Linked DNA regions of Caenorhabditis elegans. The protein of the gene in region 3 purifies or fractionates together with the protein of the main gene of each other region. This does not show direct contact. Each region holds a gene or a part of one and is shown on either strand. Other genes may lie near its edges.

What was found. Proteins that work in one complex are often made in the same cells at the same time.
Region 1: the proteins of srw-16 (region 3) and F56D5.9 fractionate together in Caenorhabditis elegans (co-fractionation; one large-scale study listed by BioGRID). This does not show direct contact.
Region 2: the proteins of srw-16 (region 3) and smcr-8 fractionate together in Caenorhabditis elegans (co-fractionation; one large-scale study listed by BioGRID). This does not show direct contact.

Annotation. Positions count from the first base shown.
Region 1 is NC_003282.8:9,417,924-9,424,314, forward strand, and holds F56D5.9 (BRCT domain-containing protein), read right to left. Parts: upstream 4,586-6,391; 5' UTR 4,584-4,585; coding exon 4,478-4,583; intron 4,427-4,477; coding exon 4,212-4,426; intron 4,096-4,211; coding exon 2,071-4,095; intron 2,027-2,070; coding exon 1,912-2,026; intron 1,865-1,911; coding exon 1,722-1,864; intron 1,499-1,721; coding exon 1,360-1,498; intron 1,310-1,359; coding exon 1,209-1,309; intron 1,161-1,208; coding exon 702-1,160; intron 605-701; coding exon 509-604; downstream 1-508. Other genes in the region: srxa-2 (G_PROTEIN_RECEP_F1_2 domain-containing protein), read left to right, coding at 5,472-5,607, 5,680-5,855, 5,903-6,241, 6,292-6,391.
Region 2 is NC_003281.10:4,997,415-5,001,876, reverse strand, and holds smcr-8 (Guanine nucleotide exchange protein smcr-8), read right to left. Parts: upstream 2,503-4,462; 5' UTR 2,495-2,502; coding exon 2,335-2,494; intron 2,290-2,334; coding exon 1,975-2,289; intron 1,927-1,974; coding exon 1,780-1,926; intron 1,738-1,779; coding exon 1,625-1,737; intron 1,579-1,624; coding exon 1,187-1,578; intron 1,140-1,186; coding exon 1,053-1,139; intron 1,015-1,052; coding exon 952-1,014; intron 843-951; coding exon 584-842; 3' UTR 509-583; downstream 1-508. Other genes in the region: R144.10 (Coiled-coil domain-containing protein 25), read left to right, coding at 1-40, 92-406; tmem-131 (Transmembrane protein 131 homolog), read left to right, coding at 3,744-3,839, 3,884-4,173, 4,345-4,462.
Region 3 is NC_003283.11:15,272,850-15,276,771, forward strand, and holds srw-16 (G-protein coupled receptors family 1 profile domain-containing protein), read right to left. Parts: upstream 2,009-3,922; coding exon 1,419-2,008; intron 1,206-1,418; coding exon 849-1,205; intron 803-848; coding exon 652-802; intron 606-651; coding exon 534-605; downstream 1-533. Other genes in the region: srw-17 (G-protein coupled receptors family 1 profile domain-containing protein), read right to left, coding at 2,683-2,748, 2,800-2,950, 3,061-3,414, 3,462-3,922.

The DNA.
Region 1 (6,391 bases), on a different chromosome or scaffold from region 3:
ATAAATATCGTGTGGAAAGAGTGAAATACAAGGGAGTCGTGTATGAAACAGTTTTGAAATGGGCCGAATGGATTCACAAACAAAAAATTCCTTTCTTGTTTGGAGTACATTTCCATGTGGCAATCGAGAAGATGTCTGAAAATGAGAAGATGCATTTGAAACAGTTGGTTGAAATGCACGGAGCCACATGGATGGATCAGATGCCAAACAAAGCGAATTTCAATGCAGGATCCCACCCATTCCACCATTTCCATCTCGGACCACTTTTCATTATCCACGAAAAGAAGGTATGTTGCGTAATATTTAACTTGACAAATAATTAATTCCCAGTGCATTTGCTTTCTAAATTCGATAAGAATTCGATTTTTAAGTTATTTTTTCCAGAATAACATGGAAACATATAAAAACGACAAGATGTACACTCTGATGACGTATGATCAATTCATTATTTTCATGTTGAAGTTGGAATGCTTCTATGATCCAGAGCGAAAGGTTCCTATTCCAGTGACTACCGTTTTGGATGAGGAATAATTGAACTACCATTTGAAATAAATTTCGGCTTTTGGTACATCACCGTCACGTTTTTATATGTTTCCATGTTATTCTGGAAAAAATAACTTAAAAATCGAATTCTTATCGAATTTAGAAAGCAAATGCACTGGGAATTAATTATTTGTCAAGTTAAATATTACGCAACATACCTTCTTTTCGTGGATAATGAAAAGTGGTCCGAGATGGAAATGGTGGAATGGGTGGGATCCTGCATTGAAATTCGCTTTGTTTGGCATCTGATCCATCCATGTGGCTCCGTGCATTTCAACCAACTGTTTCAAATGCATCTTCTCATTTTCAGACATCTTCTCGATTGCCACATGGAAATGTACTCCAAACAAGAAAGGAATTTTTTGTTTGTGAATCCATTCGGCCCATTTCAAAACTGTTTCATACACGACTCCCTTGTATTTCACTCTTTCCACACGATATTTATAATCATTTCGGAAGTTTGATTTCTTTTTCAAACAGTCATTCATCCACTGCTGTTTCATGATTAATGTTGGCAAGAAAATGCACATTATGTAACCAAAATCATCTGATTCAAAAAGACCAGTAGCATCAGTTAATACAATGAAATGAGTTACACCCGACATTTGATCAGTCACCTTTAAATTTTGGGTTTAACTGATAACTCAAAACGAACATAAACTCACATTTCCTTTGTACCTTTCAATGAATGATTCGTAAGTAATACCAGTCAATTGAGCATCAATACGAATACGATACGACATAGTTGGAAGTAGCTCTGGGAGTTCTGAAATAAATACTCCCAAATTACATTAATTGAAGGATGGATAAACTCACTCTGTCTAAACACTTTTCCTCTGTGCTTCTCAAAAATCTTCTCAATATCCGTCAGATTTCCCATTTCTGTCAGTTTACTCTTTGTTACTCCTTCACTTCCACTGGTAGGACTAGTCAATGTTAGAAATTTGGTTGTTGTCTGGAAATGTAACATTTAACGTATTTCAAAATAATACTGACCCCCTTGCTCCACTTTGACAATTTAAATTTCAGTTCTCTTTGGCTTAATGAAAAACTATCAAATGGCAAATTTTTGCTTCAATGTTACACATTTTTGATGAAACCAACGACAACCGATATATGAGCCGTCAAAGTAGAGCAATGCAAGAAACTACAGCTTAAATATATAAAATCTAGCTTACCTGCACACTTTCAGCCAATACTTGTTCTGGTGTCTTATTCTCAACATTAAAAGCTCCTCTATCAGCACCATTCCGAATGAGAAAATCAGCAATCTTAACGTGTCCATATTTCGCAGCAGCATGAAGAAGAGTATTTCCAAACACTGGAATTACATCAAATTAAATAAAAATTGATTGATTATCTTCTTACTGTTGTACACATTAATGAACACTCCCTTATCTACCAATACCTTCACTTGATCGAAATTAATTTCTCTAACAGCTTCACATAATGCATTTTTATCAGCTTCTTGATCAATCCAGAACTGAAATTAATTTTATTTGAACTGAAAATTGAATAATAACTCACTGAATATCTCCAGTGCAAATTTGTAACTGCTTCTGATGCAAATCGATTCAAATAAAATCGTTTCAACTTCCTTCTTCCATTTGGAGTTATTGAATACAAGATAATCAAGAGAATGATGAAAAGAACAAGTGATCCAAATATGATGAGAACAATGAAGTACCATGGAATTGAATTTTGTATCCAAATTGTTTCATGCCTGCCCATTTCAAAAAGCTCATCAAGAAATTTGTTAAGAAATGTGACACTCTCTGAAGCAGCTTTGAGTTCTTTGTGGTAATAAGTGAAATCCAAACGAAGAGCTTTAATTCCTTCCATTTGTTCGATTATCTTCTGACTTCCTTTTAAATGTTTCACGTTTTCTTTGAATTCATCGAAATTTTTGAAAACTCCAACCAATCCATGAAAAGTCGCAGCTTCGTCAAATACAATCGCAACACTTGAAATGTCATTATTCACGCGATTTCCCATCAAATAATTCAAATTGCTCATTTTTTCAATAGTCTCGTTTAATTTCTTTTTGCCTTGAGACTCCCATACTTTCCAGAAGTTGCCATTGAAATGAGAAGTTGAACTTAACATACTTCGTAGGAGATTCATCTCTTTCTGGTTAATATGCAGTTCCTCTATTGCTTCTTTTCCAATAAGTAAAGGTTTATTGATTTCTTCGGATTGATTGAACCTATTCAAATACTTGATCTCATCACTTAACTTCTTCAATGTATTGTCTCTAGCAGAGTTCAGCGCCTTCAGAATTTTAGAAAGGTCATCCATATAAGATCCAACCATTTTTGATGCAGATTCTGTTTCAGGAGATTTGAATGATTCAAAATTAAGAAGGTTAAACAGATTATTGTTTATTTTTCCTAATTTAAAGTTTCCAGTTCTCAAACATTTTCCAATGGTAAAAGCTTTTGTCACATTAACTTCTAATAAAACATCATTCAAATAATCAAGAGACGGAGCGTTGATGATACTCTTAACAAATTCACTTCCATCGTAATCACTTATCAATTGCGTGACATTTTCGGACATTCTCTTGATAGACTTGGTATCATTTGGACTTATTTTGTTATATAAATTGGATTGTATTTGACGCCAATTTCCAGAATCGGACTTCATGATTTCCTTAACTTTTACTCGTATATTCTTCAGTTCATCCAAGGTTTTATCTTTCTGCTTTATTATTTTTCGTACTCTTCGAATGTATTTATGTAGTTCAGTGGCAAGATTATCCATATGAATGAATATATTTTTAAATTTTTCATAATCAAAAGATTTCGTGAATGTGGGCAAATTAACAACGCAAGTCTCCACAACGTCTATGATAGTACTCGATATTTCGAAATCGTTCCACTTTTCCAGATCACTGATTTTTACTGACATCAATAAAGCTGCTCTTAAGCTATCCGGATGTTTTAAAACTATCTTCTTCACTTTTTTCATTGTTTTCAAATGATTTCTGATAGGTTCGAGTCCATCATAAAGGGTCTTTGTGTTCTCATCCCCAAGTACATGTTTCAGCCACTTGGAATTGAATACTCTCAACATTCCAGCAACTTCTTTAATTTTTGATTCATAGAGGTTAACTTTTTCGCCAAATAATGTCCTCTTCATACCATCACCAACACCTTTGCTGTTCTTTTTCAAAGCCTTCCTAACTTTGACAAGATTTTGACTGATTGTTCTCAATAACGAAGCAGAAGATTTTACAAATTCACCATTTACGGTAAATTCTTGAACAGCGTCAATAATGTCATCTAATATACTTATATCAGAGTGCCTTTCGTTAAACTTTTTGACGACATTTTTGTATTCGAGACTTTTGCTGAGCTGATCCATGTCTTTTTTGAATAATTCTTCAATCTTTCCGTCGGAGAAAAGAGCAAAGCAAAATGATAATTTTGTTCTATCAATGTCATTCGATAGACAATATTCGATATCATCAAAATATTTAAATTCGGGTGGTTTTAGATCAGGTGGATTTGGCATCTTACTTTTCAACTTTTCAAATCTCCGAATATACGACTGAACTTTTTTTTCGGGGAAAATTTTTTTCGGTGAAAATATGATTCCAACGAAGATAGCATAACTAAGTGGTTCACTACTGTCTTCAATTCTGTAACGTTCGACGGGACTGTTACCTTTCGAATTTCATTGTAAAACTTTGTGAATGCTGCCATCGTTTCATTCGGTTGAAGAGCAAGAAATGCTTGTAGATCAAGTGGCGTTGCTTTGAAAAATGTAGAAGTTTCCAGATCGAAATCATGGAAAAGACGTGCTTGACTTGATATTGCTTTCGTTAGATTAATCAAGGTGGAAACATCATTCATGAAGTTTTCGAGATTTGGCGATTTTACTAAAATGTTTAATTGATAAAAGTGAAATGAAAATAGAAAATTCAACTCACTATCACTTTCAAATGTGGTTTCTTCGGTGGATGTTGAGAACGCTAACAGTCGATTGAAACAAAAAATTAAGGTAATTGCAAAGAGTATACTAATAGCTTTATTCATCTGAAATCAAATGAAACATGCATGATTTTATGAACAAACTTTGCTCACCTTGCATTACCGGAGAAATCACTTCACTAGAAAATCGAAAATAATCAATGAAATGTTTTGTTTATCACTAGGACTAAAATAAGAGCAACAAGCGATTTTTTTCCAAAAAATTCTTCTTGTTCGCAACTGTCTTCACGTAATGTCCAATTTTTTCGATTTTTTTCATTTTATTGTCAAAGAGTAGGCTTAACTTTTTATTTGTATTCTGATTGTGAGCTGAGTTTTCATTTTCCTACTTTACTTTTTTTTGAGTTGTTTACCTGCAAAATTTGTATGATTTTGAGAAAAAGTCCAATTTTCAGAATGACACTTTTCTCGGAGAATCTAAAATTTACAGTGCACATTGTGATGCCAATGATGTGAGGCTCCTGATTTACACATCGAAAACTTATCCCGAATGCGAAAAAGTGAAAGAGATTGCTGACATATTTTTTATCAAAAATCTAGAACGAATATTTCAATCTTTGTCCGTAAGATCAGTTTTTTACTCTGCTTCTTAAAATAAAGTATACTGCTTGTTGATATTCCCACGTAAGAATGTGTCACTATTTTACATTTTCTCCAAGATTCTCAGGAAAATGTGCGCGGAAAAACAAAGTTCTACTTTTTCTCGTCAGTGTTGAGTTCTAAAGCAAATTTGTCATGCACTCGAGCAGAAGCATTTGCTCGACTGATCACCTCACAGTTTGAATATTTTGATTTGTGATATTATTTCTATTTTTCAAACCCCGCAAAATGATATATTGGATAGTTAATCTAGCTCAGCTGGTATTTTCAATTCTCAATTTATTATTTTTAATATTTGACTTCTTTCTGCTATTTTCAGTTTTAAAACTGAAAATGTCTTCCCAATCTGGACCCTTTATCTATATTATTTTTATGACAATTTTTGGAATTTCGGAAAAATTGATAGACTTTCTAATGGTAGACGCCTGGCCTATTTCTGAATGGATCGAGCCTAATGGTGGATATCAGAGTGAGTTGGCAAGATGCTTGATCTGAATTCTGAAACAGTTTTGAAATCATAAGCTCCACAGTCAATTTTCAGAGTATCGTCATGCTGTTGGAACAGAAGTATCTCTGCTATTCACCATTTGTTATTTAGCTCCATTATTTTTGGATTGGATAATGACTTTCCATAGGATGTCTATTTTCATATCACCGATTAAATCATCAAAATGGTTCAGCGACACGAAGGTTGTTGTGTATTGCACTGGGGTTACGGTAGGCTACAGTATTTTGAAACCTATAATACCCTGAAAGAGTTGCAGATTCTCATTACCATTTGGCTTCTGATTCCATATTTTTCAAATTGCTCATTAAACTTCAATGCTTTGACCAGTTACCACGAATCAGCATGTGCTCCGTCTCGTCATCCAATCACTTTATTTCAAAATAACTTTCTTATTTATGTTCCAATTGTGTCAATGGTAGTCAATTCTGGAATTCTAATTTATCAAAAATATCTGAGAAATCGCTGGAAGAGCACTGCCTCGTCAATATCTTTGTCACACGTAAAACGAGAAAATGAAATGATTCGTCAAGCATGTTTTATTGGAGTTTATTTGAGTGTTTATGAGATTTTATACTTACACATGAGGCTTTATCCGGTAAGAATATCAAACAAGATAATTTGTGAAAATAATATAATTATTTTCAGCAACATTTTGAAAATCTTCCCTTCGAGCTTCAAACAATATCCTATGATCTACGTTTGCTGGCAATCAGTTCATTGAACTTTTTTGTATATTTTGTGCTCA
Region 2 (4,462 bases), on a different chromosome or scaffold from region 3:
TTCGAACATGTACGTGAAATGCAATAATTCAGAATATATGGTGAGATTTCTTATTAACAAAAGCGTTCGTTAATCAAAATTACATTTCCAGGTGTGCAAAGTGAGAATCCCGGACATTGATAAACCAGAAATCATCTGTCACTGGCCAACTGAACCAAAGGCTCATTATAAAAAGTCAAAACGATCAATGACAGAGCCAGACGAAGAAGATGACCGAGTTTTAGAACAACATGAAAAAGAAATCGCTCATCTCGTGGCGGAAAACACTAATTTGCGTCAAGAGCTCGCCATTCTGAAGCAGTCTTTTGAAGAGTTCAAGAAGGCGGCTGAATTGGCTAGAAATCGTGACAAGGCAGACTTTTGGGCTGAAATCAACCAAATGAAACAGGATATCATCAAAAGATGAAAGTTCTCCGAATGCATTGTCGTAAATCAATGCTCTGTCGTCCTTATTTTTAAAATTTTCCTTCTTCTAATTACTGTTCATATCATCTATAATTATGTTTTGTTTCAATGACAGCTTGTATTGTATCAGACTGAATTTGATTTTTTTTATTGTTTCATAAATATTCAAATTTTTAAATCACAAATTGATGGTTCTACTCGGCTTTGCCCCGTCTTTGGATGATACTTTGAGTTGGTTGAATTTTTCGAAGTCGATTCCCATCAGCAAGTTGATCAATATTCTTTCGTCGTCTGAGCTCAGTTTCTGCTGATCTCCCAATGCTTTTTCGATAGAGTTCGGAGATTTGATGAACATATATCGACAGATGAATGCAAGCTGACAAATATTTGTCAAATAGGCAATTATAAAAAGGACCAGGGAACGATCAGATGGGAACCTGAAAGGCGTTTATTGTTAGGAGAGTGTATATCTTAACTGAACTTATCCCCTTATTTGCACTTAATTGTTTGACAAGATAAGGAAATAAGTCCATAAATGTTACTCACTTTCTTTTCTTATTGAGACCAGCTAGCAATGATCCATCGTAGGTAAACGTCTTGAGAGCACTTCTGAAACCGATATTTTTTTTTTTTTGAATTTTTATTACCTATTCATATCAAGAACATTTCTCCATCTTGCCAATTTTCCGGTCTCATTTCTATTACATAGCAGACCGCCCAATCCATTGCCTATTCTGAAAAATTACCAAATTTTAGAATTGAATGTTTTCTGATTATTTACCTATTTGGATCCTTTTCGATTTTGATATTTTCTTCTACATTCCGAGCACTTTCTCTTGGAACAACTCTGCTCAATTTCCCGAGCATATCTTCTACAGTACTCTTTCTCTGTTCTGCTCCACAAACTACCAAATCTTCTCCACAAAGCAATGGAAATATGACATCTCCCAGGTGTCCAGTTACTTCTTTTAGAGTTTCTTCTCCGTTTTTATCATTATCAGATTTTCCTGAATCAGTGTTCCAAGGCAAAGTTGTAGTGGCGGCTGGTGATGTAGTTGCGATGGGACGGTGTCCACAGAAAAGAGCTCCATGAGTAGAATTTCTATTAGGGCTTCCTGATGAACATAGTTCGGAGCATAGTTGGCGTAGTTTTGGAATTATGGATGAATACGCCTGTATAATTTAATTTTTATAGGCAACAAAGGTTTTAAAATCTTACACATGGAGTGAGAGTTTCCACAGGACTCAATGGAATTGATGGAACTCGGAATGAGCAAATAATATCTTCAGCTTCGTTCATGTTTTCTGCATTGTGACCACAGCAAATGTCATCTGAAATATAATTCTAAATCAAAGTCTCAACGTTTTGTTCACCATCAAAAGCCATTTCTTGAAATCTTTTCGTCAAAAATTTGCTTTTTAGAAGCCTGGTTTGCTCGAAAACTACATTGAATCTGCTTCCGTCTGACAACTTTTGTGAATCTCCATTCAGTGTATAGTACTGTTTCAGGGTGGTTTCATCTGAAAATGGTAACAATTTGTTTAAAAAATCGAAGAAAAAAAACTTACCAACACTGTCCGAAAACTTGACAATATCAGTGACATGGCGAATAAACAGACGTCGATTGCAAATCAAAACTGGTGAAACTAATTTTTTCATAGCTGATGAGAATAGGTTCAAAGTTTCTTTTGTTGGCTTCTCCGAACATAAATAGGCGATGCATAAATTTCTTTGAAAAGCTCTTGCTCTCATGTCGTACAAATTAAAATAATATGCGGCCGCATATACACCCGTTTGATTGTTTTCCAACACAATCATTGTACCCGGAACAGTATCAGACGACATCAACCAGATTGCCATATCGTTTATGTCAACTCCGCGGACTGAAAATTAGCATTTATTCGAGAAAATTGTGTATAAATATTTACTTTTATCATCTGGCCGCTGAGAAACTACCGCTAGTGGTTTTGGTCCGATAACTTGGCAAAATTCGACAAGAGTCAGAAATGGATCAATTTTTGCGACGAATCTGTTGAATGGATCGACGACTTTGGATGGTCGGAGGAGAAAATCCTCGAATGAAATCATTTCTGAAATTAATACAATTTTAATTTCATAATAAAAAGACGAATTCAGCAGAAAACGGCTTAAAAAACAAAAGTGAAAATGTTTGCAAATTATGGAAGAGTTTCCTTCATTAAAACTTTTCAAGCATGCGCCTTTAAAGCTACAGTAACCAAAACCCTCTATAAAACTACTCATTAATCAATTTAAAAGTCAATTTACGTTCAAGTTAAATTAAATCAATATTTTCCAAGCGAAATTGTTTGCAAAAGAACAATGAAGTAACTTCCAGCAGTGTAAACATCGGAAAACCAGTCACTGCAGTCAGGAGATATTGTTCTGGTGGCCGTGGCCGAGGATTCTCCACACGGCTGAAATAACTGTAATTTGTTTCTGTAGTTTTTCTGGTTTTTAATCGTCAGTTTTGAACGTTTTCGCGCAGAAATTTGCATATTCGGAATTATTTAAGACATATTTTTGATATTTATAGTATACTCTGTCAAATATTCTATTTTTCGCGTGTTTGTTAACAACAATAGCCGAAGAAAATCATTTTCTGATTACAAAAAAAATGTGTCCATAATTTCCACAATTGTTCTGCTAAATAAAGACTGTTTTCTGATTTTCTAAATTCTATGTAAATCCAAGCGCTCAATATTTTAATGCTTCATTAATATTCATACCCGAGGTAATAAAACTAGCCTGCGGTTGACAGCTATAGACTTTTTTCCTGACTGCCTTGACCTAGATGACAGATGGTTATCACTTTGTCTTTGTTTTATTCACTTGATTCCACTCATTTTTCACCGAAAAAAGCCCTTTTTCTTTTTTCTCTCTTCACTTTTCCAAACCAGATTTCTTCGTTCTTCTTTCTCTTATAATGGTGTGATGACGTGTTCAACATCTCTATTTTCCCTCAAAAATCGATCGATCCTATTTGTTCTGCGTCTCACGACGACTGTATCTTCTTCTTCCCAAGATGCCGAATACTGGGTCTCTCCAAATCAAACACTATCTCTTCTCCCAGTTATCCTTCCCAATTGAAGTCGACGTCGCCTTTGCCGTTGTCTCTCACTTTTTTATTTCCCTGGAGAAATCTCTTAGTGCCGTTCAATTCCACGTATCATCCATGTTGCATAAGCAAATAAGCAAAAAATAAGCAATAAAAACTGATTTCCGTTTTATTGTGCTTTTTAATTATCTTACTCAGAAAACCTATAGAAAAAAATTTATTCGTTTTTTCAGAGAAACTCTCAATTTACCAAATGCTCAAATGGTTCCATCAATACACAAAACTTCAAACAGATATCGGACGATATATTTCTTCCTAATTTCTCTTTTAATCACTTCAACTTTTGCAGATCAGCAGGTATGGTTTAGCCTCAGAAATTCACATTAAAAAATCAATTTCAGGCATGGCCTCTTCCAGAAGAAGTGTCCGCATCCCAGCTTCACGAGATTCCAGTTCTTCATACCGCATTTGTTCAAATCGGTGAAGAGCTTCACTATCTCAATCATCCTATTCGACCCGAAAATGTGCATCAATTGCCAGTTTATGATTCAATTAAAGGAGTTTGTGAAGGAAATTGTCCGAAAGAAGCCAACAAGAACCATGCGACGAAAACATTCAACGTGTTGAAATTGTCTGGAAAAGGGAAACTTCCAATGGAGATGGATCCACCAATGATGGATTTTGGGCAAAAGTGAATAATTTTTAATTATACTCAAAAGATCGAACTTCATAACGAGACTTTGAAAAAATGCAATTTTTGGAATGTCTCGTTATGAAATTCGACATTTTGGGGCCATTTTAAGTATGATAACAAAAATTTTGATTAATTTAAAAAACCTTCCAAGTATGCATTTTTTTTCAGTTCTGTCGGTACCGCGCAGAAACGCAAAATCTACATTCGAAATATGAGAAATGAACAGATATTCCTCGATGCAGTTGTTGTCAACTCTATTGAATTTCAAGCTTCATATTTTGAGCAA
Region 3 (3,922 bases):
ATCATGGAATTAATTTGAAAATTTAACTCTTCTGAGCTATAAAACGAAACATTTATTAATTTTTCAGCAAAGAAGGAGAGTGGGTGTGAAACAAGAATAAACAAATATCATGGCCAAATCTGTTGTTGCTTAGCAGCCAAGTTCCAAAGACCATCAACAATTTTATTGTGAGACAAAAAAACAGATGGAGTGTTATCCGAATTTTGCAAAAAAATTGATTCAAAAACCAAATACCTTATACCCGGGGCATAGGCAGAACTTCCTGAACTGGCTAAAAGGGTTTTGGGCGTTCAGATTTTCTATAGCAACATTTCATTGGAAATCCGCGTCAACAAATTTGTAAGTTGAACTTTCGAATTTCTCGCCATTTTTCTGAAATACTGAAGGCCAAGTTTTTTCAAGCCACAAAATCAAGAAATTCAGAGCTAGTTTATTTCATTCATCTAGATTCGAGGTAAGAAAAATGGTATAATAAAACTAATAGGTAAGTATCTTAAAGTTTATATTTCAAAATAGAACTCTAGCAAAAACGTTTAAATATTTTTCATCCTTGTCCTTTTTGAACTCTGCGAGCTAACAGACGCAGTCGAAATAACCAATATATTCTGAATAAAAATTGTTGAAAAATATGGTATTCTGTTTGAGACCCACTTGTCCTCTATCTTGCTTTTTCGTGATACATAACATTTTCTTCACAGTTTCTCTATACTGTGAGGACATTGCAAAACATACGAAAGCATGAGAAATTCCATTCATTGTACGAAGATTCCAGAAAACATATTGTGAAAGTCCAAGTAGTGATCTGGAAATAAATTAGGCTACCGATATAAATTTTCAACAAAACTAACACAATATCAGTCATCGACTCTTCGTAAATTAGTTTAGACAAGATGAAGTTTTCAAGAATATATGATCCAATGACAGGAAGACCCTCGGAAGTCATGAAAAATATAGTCATCATGAGAATCATCTTGTTTGTTTTATACGATTGGTCATTCAACGCGTTTTTATTCATATTCTGTCTTTTTTTCTTGATTGTTCTCAATTGCAAAAGTAGAGTGATAGTTAGAGTTGGGTATAAAATAACTGAAGCGAACCGAAAGATGAGATCTATTTTATTAAACTTATCCATATTTCTGTCTTTTGCTCTAGAAACTACCAATACGTAGTAGGTGTGATTGAGGTGTTCTTTGTAATTATAGCAACTGAAAAGAAAAATGCTACTTTTGATAAATTTATCAATTAAATAAATAAACAAAAAAATTTTACTACAATCTCATATACCTCCTAAAAAAGAAAAGGACAAGGACTAAACAAGGAGGTATGAGTTGCCCACTTCTTGGAAAGGACCGACCGTTGTTATATCATTAAATTATGGCTGGAACTATTTTCAAACAAAACAAATCAATCCAACTCACGACTTAATCAAAATATCCGGATACCATCGAAATTCCATCTCGAAGTACGGTGACGAATAATAAAGTATCCAAAATGTAAACATAATTAATACTATTAAAATTGCAGTCTTAGCTTTTGCAAGCTTCTGGATCCAATTGCTCATCGGAAAAAATACTGACAGTGTTCTTATTAACGCCATCATCATCGCTAGCCAAACCGCCGTGGGCCGTGCCATTTGCACGAATATGTTGAGAATATTAACGGAGGTGACTTGCACAAAGTCACCTCGTAAGCAATTAGTATTCTTATAAAAAGGAATTGATTCAAACCACATTCTTTCAAAGCCGACATTGTAAAAATCAAGTGAGTAACCAAGGATATCAGCCACAGAAATTCCAATCATCAATATATAAATTGCACCAGATCGCAGCTCTTTTTGAAGCAAAACAATTAAATGTAAAATGTTGATGAGTACAGTAAAGAACTGCAGGCAAATGTTAATATCAGAAAGTACCATGCTTATTTTCTTATATATATCAGCACAGTGAAAATTGTCATAAAGGTTTGTAAATTCACAATCTTCAGAATAAAATTCTTCATCATAGTACATTGTATTCAAATCGAAGCAAAAAAGGTAGTCAAAGTTAAAGGACTGACTTCAAGATATGGAAATTTGAAAAAAAATGTTATGCAAAAGTGTAACTCGGGATATGACCATTAAAAGCTCAATGCTTAATAACATGCTGTCTAGGATTAATTGTTGGCGTGAATTCCAAATTGCTTTCTTGTCCTTGAACTTTTATTTGGAGTTGAGTAATCACGTATTTATTGGCAACGTGAAAAAGTGGGTAACATTCAAAGCAATTTCAGTTTTCCCGATGCTATTAGGTAGTTTTTCCTGCGCCAAGAAGTTTCTAGTACTAATAATGTCAGTTGCTTTGAGGCATCCTAGCATTTTTTTGCGACGGTAAAGTGTCAATGGGCAAGGGTTTTAAAAAAATTCCACATGACGGCTACTTTTTTAAAAGCATAATCACAAATTACTCGTAATTCGAAATACCCATTCTTGTGAGATTCGAAATAGCTTTTTGAACCAGTCTAGGTTCCGATAACTCTAATGAATTTTTTACGATACAAAACAGACTACTGTAAATCGGTCGAACTGACAAAATAATTTCAAAAATGCCAAGTATACCGAGTATAAACGTGTTATTTCTGTAAGAAATTTGAAACAATTAAAAAACTAAGAAATACATAGTATTATATAGCAAAAATTAAAATCGTTCATGTCCTTGATCTACTGGAATTGTGTGAGCTGCTAACCGACACTGTTGAGATGACCAGTATATTCTGAAATAAAAGAAGTTTTTTTCTAAATCGAAATATTTATCTTTAATCTACCTGTCCTCGTCGCTGCTTTTTCGAGGAACAGAGCATTCTCTTCACTGTGTCCCTATACTGCGAGGACATTGCAAAACATATGAATGCATGAGATATTCCATTTAATGTGCGGAGATTTGTATAAAAATATTGAGCCACTCCAAGCGCTGATCTGAAAAAGTTTCAGCTACGACGCATGACGTCATTTTCAGCAAAAAATTTCCAGCAATCCCATGCGGACTGTTTTGCAGATAATTACACAAGAATATATATAAAACTTACATTACGTCGACCATTGAATCTTGATAGTTAGGGGTAGCTAGAATTTTTTGAAGGATATAATCTCCGATACCTTCCAAGCCCTCCGATATCATAAAGAATAAAGTCATAAAAAGAATGAGCTTTGTTGTATTATCTGATCGATCATTCAACAAGTTCTTATTCATACTTTCTCGTTTTTTCTTTATAATTCTCAGTTGAACTAGTAATGTGATTGTTAAGATTGGATATAAGATGGCTGGAATAAAGCGAATGAAAGGTTCCAGTTTTTCACGCTTAAAGACTAGGCTGAAGCTAGCTTTTGGAACTACCAGAACGTAGTGGGTCAAGTTGCGATGTTCTTCGTAATCAGTGCAACTGAAATGAATGAACTTTCAGATGTGCAAGTTCGAAAGCCAACTCACGCCTTACTCAAGACATCTGGGTACCAGCGTAATGTCATAGTAAAATATTGGGATGAATACCACAGTATCCAGAATGTGAACACTACTACACTCATGAAAATTGCAGTTTTTGCTTTCGCAAGCTTCTGAATCCAAATGCTCATGGGAAAAAATACAGACAAAGTTCTGATCAACGCCATCATCATTGCCAGCCAAACCGCAACTGGTCGTGCCATTTGCACAAATATACTGACAAAATCTACAAAACTAACTCGAACCAAATCATAACGTAAGCAATAAACGTTGGTGTAAAACGGAATTGTGCTAATCCACGTTCTTTCGTAGGCAACGTTGAAAAAATCAAGTAAATAACCGATAATATCTGCCAAACAAATTCCGATCATCAAAATATAAATTGCACCGGTTCGTAGCTCTTTTTGAAATAGAACTATCAAATGTAAAATGTTAATGAAAACTGTGAA